Linked DNA regions of Coturnix japonica. The protein of the gene in region 1 purifies or fractionates together with the protein of each later gene. This does not show direct contact. Links are inferred from orthologs where the notes say so. Each region holds a gene or a part of one and is shown in the gene's direction. Other genes may lie near its edges.

Region 1 (3,500 bases):
ATTTCCAAAATGTCTTTTAAAAATATATCCCAAACAAAATACACATAAGATGCTTTTATTCTATCACTGATCTTTCTGATAGAGGGAATGGATGAGGTTGGTAGAGAATGGAAGGAAAAACAGATACCTTTCAGATTTGTATGAGTTTTTCATGTGCCTCTATTTCTTTTCACATTTCTAGTTAATGTATATGTTTAAACAAGACATTATGACTATGATATAGAATAGCTGACACTACTTTTCAGTGATAAGATTGTATCAATTTTTTTTTTCATAACTGAGGCATAAGACAGCTTAACTCATAATCTTTGATGTAAGATGGTGCTGGAGGCCATCACATTTGCCAGAATTCATTTGTTTTTGTAAGACAATATTTTGTGAGAAGAAAAATTGTAATTAGAATTTAGAATTTCCTTTAATGGAACCTCTCATGGATAACGGGATAAAATAAGTCCTTCAATTCCTTCAAGGGCTTTGAATTAAGGTATTTCATCAGTATCAAGAATATAGACCGAGGTATTTGTGTATTGGTCTTACCTTACTAATCCTTGTCTTGAATGGGAACAATATTTGGAAATGAGACACAGCTTAAAAACTTATCCAAAACATTATATTTTCTTTTTAATGTATCAGTGACTTGCAACAAACTTGTATCATCATCACTTCAAGCAGCCACAGCTGTCCCTTTTCATGCATTTGACAGACATGAAATGATAAATTGCTTGGAAGGGGGTCAGTGAGAGTAGATGGCTTGCTTCAGGTGTTTCTCAGGTGGGAACATAAATATGCCATGGTGTCCCTCTGGTGTCTCATCTTTTAATAGGAATGAATGGCTACTAATGTGACATGTGGCAGCACTTCTTCTGAACCACCTGTCATGACCATGTATTTCCCAAGTTCTCTGTTCCTTCACACCATTAAGGAATATCTCACTTCTATAAATCTGCTCTTCCCTTTTGTTCTCTCCTCCCCTGCAGATGCTGCCTGTGTTTCTGCAGTTGTTAGGGAGTGTGCAGTGAAGCAGACAGGTGAACTGGGAGTGGCTTAAAGGCACAGCAGGGATGATGTGTGGGTATTGCTGTCTGGGACTGATGTCTTTTGTGGCCTGTGCAGCTGAAGCTCATGCTCTCAGAGGGAAACGTGAAAAGCCAGCAGCTAAGATGTGCTTCAGCTGCTGAAGAGCTTCACATAGTTCACATGTTCTGGTTTGGTTAGCCTTCTTCAAAGCCAGCGATAGAAATCTCCCTAATTTCCAAATTCAGGAATAGCTTCTGACATAGGTGAATTTAAATTGCTCTCAGATGCCGAATTTATCCCTTCTGCTTCAAACAAATCCATTCTTTCCTTGAGCTCCTGAAAATAATGACTTATTAAGCCTTGTTATGCTACATCACCATGGTGGTAATCTTTACTTCAGTGGAACCCAAACTCAACAGATGTTTCCTGTATGTGTGCATTAAATTATCTGTCCTTGCTCTCGATGTTCTGTCCGAGTTTATGATTCATTAGGCTGTTTTAAGGATCTGTTGCTGTACGGAAATTTTTCTGCTTCTCTTGCTATAAATGCCAACATTATTCTCTAGAATACTTCATGTCTGACCCTATTTGTATTCCACAGTTACAGTGTGTGTGTGTATATATATAGTTTTTCTTTGCAACATCCCTGAAATTCTCCCAGCAAACATCTCCTGCCCATAAAGAAAATCAGCAGCTCAGAACTGCTGGCAGCCTCCCTCTGAGGGAAGGGTATGGCATGGGCAGGCAGCCCACATCCCAGAAACTCATATACTGTAAAGTAGACTAAGCCACGAAGACTTACATTAATGGTTTTGCTTTACAAGATTTTAAACACGTATTTTATTGTAATTCAATTTCCTGTACCTCTTTCATTCTACTATGGATGAGGAAACAAACTGAGAGCAGGGAATTGCCTTCTTAATGTCGCACAGATTGTCACTGGGAGAGTTAGGAATGCAACTAATGTTTCTTTAAAATAAATTAATAACAATGAAATAAAGAAAAGCCAACCAGAACTGACGTGTTAAAACTTTCTGTAATGCTCTGTGTATTTTTCCTTGCAGGTGACAGTTACAACTATTGGCTATGGGGATAAAGTGCCTCAGACTTGGATTGGAAAGACCATTGCTTCTTGTTTTTCAGTGTTTGCAATATCATTTTTTGCACTACCTGCGGTAGGTTATTTTGTTGTTGTTGATCCATTCATTGCCAGAGAAAGCTTTTTGTTAATAACTCCTTAAACTTCTGAATCTTAAACCCAAACACTGAGTTTTTATGGTATGCAACATCAGATTTTCTGTGCATTTCAGAAAGGGATGTGTGATTCAAAACACTTTTCCTGCCCTTCTAGGAAGGGCAAAGAAAGTACTTCTTATGTTGTTTACTTCTGGACTTTGTGACTTAATGTTTTGACTTTTTAAGGCATTTACTCGTAGTTTACTCAACTGATTTAGTCCAAGGTAAACTGGAGGGTTCTTATGCACTCTCTTCCTCTGGCAGAGCTACAGAAACGGTGTTGCTGGCAGAGGCAGCAGTTAAGCAGTCAGGTGCAGCAACACTGGCAGCTAATGCGTCTGCTTGCCAAGTTAATGTATGACTATGGCCAAAGTTTCATGTTTCCAAAGTGATTTAGGGATGAGCTTTTAAAGGTATGTTGGCTCTTTTTTGAAGACAGATTAATACTTTCTAACAAGAAATGGGGTACCTGCGTACCAAGAGTAAATTCAAGTTCAGCAAAATCTAGACTGTGGTTTGGAAACCCAAAATGGTTCAGTGCAAAGAGCTGTTAAGGGTATTACTTTCAAAAGTTTAGCATTACTTGTATTTTGTGCTTTTAAAATGTTTGTGCAACCTGAACTGTGCTGTCAAAAGGTCTGTGAAATTGGATGTGAATTGGATGAAAAAAAAATCTGGATCTGAATAGAATATCCCCTACTGTCAAAATACTGCCAGCTTTATTTTTCAGCAAGTTTTTCAGCTGTATTAGCATAGTATGACTGTGGTGAGGAAGTGGTGGGGATAAGCTAGTGATAGATAATAATATTATTTTTATACCAATGCCTCCACAAAAATTCTTCACAATATTTAACAGCAGCTGTTAAAACTAAAGTGGCTATTTAAAAGTAGTCACTTACTTTAAAAGTGCTCAAACTTTTGAAGAGTTATTAAGTATAGATTTGTAAACTCTCCAACATCAGTTTGTCTTCAAAATATATTTTCCCCTTAACTTTTTACTTTCTCATTTGTACCTTGATTAGAAGAGAGACTTAATAAATTAAATGATCTGCAAGAGAAATCTGAAAGTCTGATTTTTTTGGCTGTTTTACTTCTTGGACCAAAATGACAGCAAATATGTCTAAAATAAATAAATGTATAGTAGCCCCACTTTCACATTAATGCTTTTCTCTTTACAAGTAGAAATGAAAGAACACCCCACCTTTATCACTGAGATTTTGTTATTGAGTTGAACAGTTTCTGTGAGC
Region 2 (4,188 bases), on another chromosome or scaffold:
TTCTCTCCCCCCATAAGAGCAGAGAATACGTGGTGTGTCTTCATCTTCAGATAAAAAAGAGACTATGGAAAATGGTGTACCTGAAAAATAAGATAAAATCAACACTTGTGCTTGCACAAGACAGTTCCACAGCACTGTGGCTGTGTAGAAGCTATTCATGTTTTTCTTCTTGTTGGCTCCTGGTCCACTTAAAACAATAGGGGATTGTGCTGTCTGCTGGCAGTTGCAAGGTTTGAAGCTTCCATTTGTCTTTGATTGGTCACTTTATGTCTTTTGAGAGCAAGCCGCATGGAAACAGAGGTTTAAACGTCTAGACAGAGCACTGACCTGCCACCGATAGTTTGTTGACAGCACTTCTCAGTGTTCTCCTAAGGAACAGATGTCTGTACATTGAGCTGATCCTACGCTGTCTCTTCTTGTAGATGTGCTTTTAGCTAACCGGGTGCTTCCCCAGCATGTGCGAACCGTTGCGATGGCGGGCGCCCTTCGGCTGCGAGGATCCCCCAGTCACCAATTTCCTGCATTGCAGTGGAGCATATTCAGGGTGTTTGTTCTGCAGTTGGATGTATCCTGCTGGTCTGTTCTGCTTCTGAGGTCTCTTGGCTCTCAGAGTGTAACTGTATTCCGTGCCTGCGATCACGCCCATGGTAGAATTGCTAACTTTCCCACTGGAGGCTGGCCAGTAAAGGGCAGAGTTTCTGTGCGCTGTTTAAGACAAATCGGTACCAAACGGCAATGCGACACCCGTCTCTGGTTTTCTCTCGTCGTTACTGCCCGGTAACACTGGAAAAGGAGCTTTGCCTCCTGTCATTTTGCGCATTTCTCCTGTTTCTACTGAGTGAGAAATCTTTGCTGTGCATAGGGCTGCTTTGTTTGCTGTAATTTTTACTGATTAAAAGGGGCTGTGTGGGCTCACTTGGGCTGCATTGCGCTCCTAGGGACAACGTGAAAGTTGTGGCTTTTTAAAGGCAAGGAGCTTGTTACTTAACCGTGCTATGAGCACAGTTAAAATTGAAAGCGTAACGGTGCTATATTTACTCACGTTCTGCCATGATAGCCTCGTGCTGTAACACACACCAAAAAGTTAAGCTTGAAATATTGTTCCTTATTTGCATGTGGCGTTGACTTACAGCCCTAACACCGAACCGTTTGTGTTGTCGTTAACTTTCCGTGCGCCCTGTGCGAACGCGCCGTGCGGGTACGAGATGAGTTAGATTTATAGCGGCGCCGAGTGTGCTCGCTGCCTCGGTCAGCTGCGCCCTGATGGAAAAGGAGCAGCTGGGAAGGTGCTGTTTCAGGCTCTCGCTGGCATTAAAAAAAAACAACAGAACCCCCACTGGCTTAGATTGGAGAGGGGGAACCGGGCCACGTGACCGCCACCATCCTACCCCATGTCACTGTGTGTAGGAGTGCTGATTGCTCTTACCCAATCATGCCTGGAATGCTGCTTGCCACTTGGGCTATTTCTGCTATCTGTCGCTATCAGTGCTGCAGTGCTAACAGTTTGGCAGATGGGACACTTTTTCTTGGAGTTTATGTCTTTGGTTTTTAACTTCTGGCAGCGCCTGAATTGTTGCCGTTCTCCCTCTCCTTTTCTTCTCTCTGTAAAACCATGGCCCATCGGCTGCGGTTTCATTTTGGCTCTGGGCGAAGCAACACAGCCCCCGAATCCGAGATCCTCGACCGGGAGAGAGAAGATGAGATTTTCATGGCATTCCACACTTTGCCGAGAAGAAGCAGCCCTCACGCTTTCTCCCGACACGGAGCAGATTACGGCGGTGGCAGCGATTTCCAAGAAGTGGGCTCCTTGAAAAGGAGCACCTCCATGTTTATTCCCCAGCTGCTGAACAGCATCAGCGCACGTCCCACCAGGAGCTCCTCCATGCAGATCTCTCTCCAGCGCAAGGCTGCAGATGAGTGCGCGACCCCGGAGACCCCCAAGGAGACACCCCTGAGCAAGGCCTCGGATGTTAGGGAGCATTACGTGTCTCCCGTTGAAAACCATTCATCCTCCCGGAGTAGCCCAGAGGTGGCTCCTGATGATTCTCCACCCAGGCAGACAGAGGAGTTGGGGCAGCAGATGAATGGCACTCTTCGCTGTAACCGTAGGATATTCCGTACTATTCCTCCTAATAACCAGAGCGACGATGCTCTGTCCACTGCCCATGAGAATGAAGCAAAGGAAACACCTTCAGGTTTGAACTTCAGCGGCGTGAGGATTCAGCATCGTGCTTCAAGTGCCGATGTGCCTCAGGTTACTCTGTTGCCCTATGGTTCCGAGGCTCAAAATAATGCTCCCACCCCCGAGCCCCGGCGCTGGTCTCTGCAGCATGTGCCAGACATGTCAGCAAATGCAGGGAAAAAGTTCTTTGTTCTCCAGTTACAGCAGCCGCAGGCAAGTGGTAAAGGTGGCGAGTATAACTTTGGCTTTACTGGGACAAAAGGGGATAGATTGGTCAGGTACCCGCGCATACAGCTGGGGAGGAGCGCTTCCTACCCTGTGCAACCACGGCCAGAGGAAATCCGCCCTGCAGGTGAGGGACTGACTTCAGAACTGCATGGAAACAGCAGGAGCGGGTCAGAAATATCCAGAAGCAATTCAGTAGAGAAAATTCCTCAAGGGAAGGGATGCCTGTTTAAAATCAGACCAGATCAAAACACGAGACAGCAGCACTTCAGAATCCTTGTCACCCGTAATCCCGAGGAGCAAAGTCCAGTGGTTGGTACAGAATGTCGTGGCACCCCTGGTCCTGCAGCAGCCAGCACCGCGGTGAGTAAGATGCTGAGTGTGCTCTGCTAACACTGTACAGAATTGCCATGCAAAGGCTTTTAAACCTGAGGCAACTGGACGGCTCCCTTGTTAGTGCTAGAACATTCGCTGTTTCTCTGGAACCAGCCACTAGTGATCTCTGTTTCAGATCTGCTTTAGCTTTGTCCTCGGCTGTGGTTATGTGCGGTGTAATATTTTGAGATCCTAACGTCACATGTTGTACATAAGATTCTTTTAAAATCAGAACAACCAAATGGCAAATTAAGGGATCATGTTTAATTAAGGATTAAGGAATTCTTTGTGCACTTCGTAGCCTGAAAACAAATGCTTTGATAAAGCCTAAGGATAATGTGCATGTTTGTACCCCTGTGGCTTTAAAAATGTGCATCGTAATGCAATAGGAGCTAAAGTGGTAGAAATCTCATGGTAAGTCTAATGAAGGTAACGGCCTAGCAGGTAAGGTAACAAAAAGTTAGGGGGAAAAAGGAGGCGTTAGGGTGTATTTTTTCACTCGCTTTTGGCCTTCTCTAAGCTAAGGGTTTGTCCTGTTTTTTTGTGTGCCACAAGTCCTGATCAAACAACTTGGGAAACTGTGCTGTCAGTTCTGTTTGCGTTGGTTTTACTTTCAGGTGCCAGGATTCATCTTCTGGTCCTGTTATAACGAATGAAGTCTGAAGTTTCATGTTTTTAAGCCATTTTTGAAAGACCAAAGCAGGAATGAAAGGGAAGGGTTTAGATTAGTCATTTGCTTTAAACTGCTTTACTGTGCAATTTAACACTGCCCACTTGAGTCCCTGAGCTCAGTGATGCTGTATATAGAATAGCAAGTGCTCTGTCTCCAGCTGTGAAAACAGATTCACTGGGAGAGATTTGGGTCTTCGCTGCCTGTGTTCTCATTCTGCTGCGCTTTTGTTCAGTGAAATGCAGTACGGAGAGACAGCTGCTCACTGCAGCAAGGCCGTATGATGACTCTGCAGCTTTCTTGTTGAGAAGCTGGCATCTCCAAGCTATTCTGGTGTAGCCTTCTTTTGAGCCCTTCAGTCGTTATTATGCATAGAAAATCACAAATTACAGCCAAGTGTTAATAAAAATACACAGTGAAAAAGATTCTTAAACAAAGAAGTACAGTTTCACTTCACTTTCTGTCAGCTAAGCAGCTCAGTAAGTAGTGCACAGTCTCTGTCCTGCTAGCCTAGAACATTTCAGCAGCAAAGTCTGGAGTGAAGAATCTTCCTTGATTTTTCTCCTTCGTTTGAATCTCACTGGTGCAGTACATTGCGTTCCACTGTGTTTTATCTCACACTAAAAATGTATGTGTGGTTTTCCTGCTGATCACTGGGTACTAGCAGTTCTTGGAGGACCACCATAGCTGGCTGTATCAGTCAGTGCAGTCAGGCAGCCCCAGTAGAAGCACTGGC

Evidence for each region.
Region 2: the proteins of KCNQ1 (region 1) and NEDD4L purify together in Homo sapiens (affinity purification with western blotting, with the first as the bait; 3 studies listed by BioGRID). This does not show direct contact. The link is inferred for Coturnix japonica from reciprocal best matches to the Homo sapiens genes KCNQ1 and NEDD4L.

What each region holds. Positions count from the first base shown.
Region 1 is NC_029520.1:11,089,990-11,093,489, forward strand, and holds part of KCNQ1 (potassium voltage-gated channel subfamily KQT member 1), read left to right. Parts: intron 1-2,081; coding exon 2,082-2,192; intron 2,193-3,500. UniProt on the Homo sapiens protein: Pore-forming subunit of the voltage-gated potassium (Kv) channel involved in the regulation of cardiomyocyte excitability and important in normal development and functions of myocardium, inner ear, stomach and colon.
Region 2 is NC_029547.1:603,846-608,033, forward strand, and holds the start of NEDD4L (E3 ubiquitin-protein ligase NEDD4-like), read left to right. Parts: upstream 1-1,388; 5' UTR 1,389-1,612; coding exon 1,613-2,770; intron 2,771-4,188. UniProt on the Homo sapiens protein: E3 ubiquitin-protein ligase that mediates the polyubiquitination of lysine and cysteine residues on target proteins and is thereby implicated in the regulation of various signaling pathways including autophagy, innate immunity or DNA repair.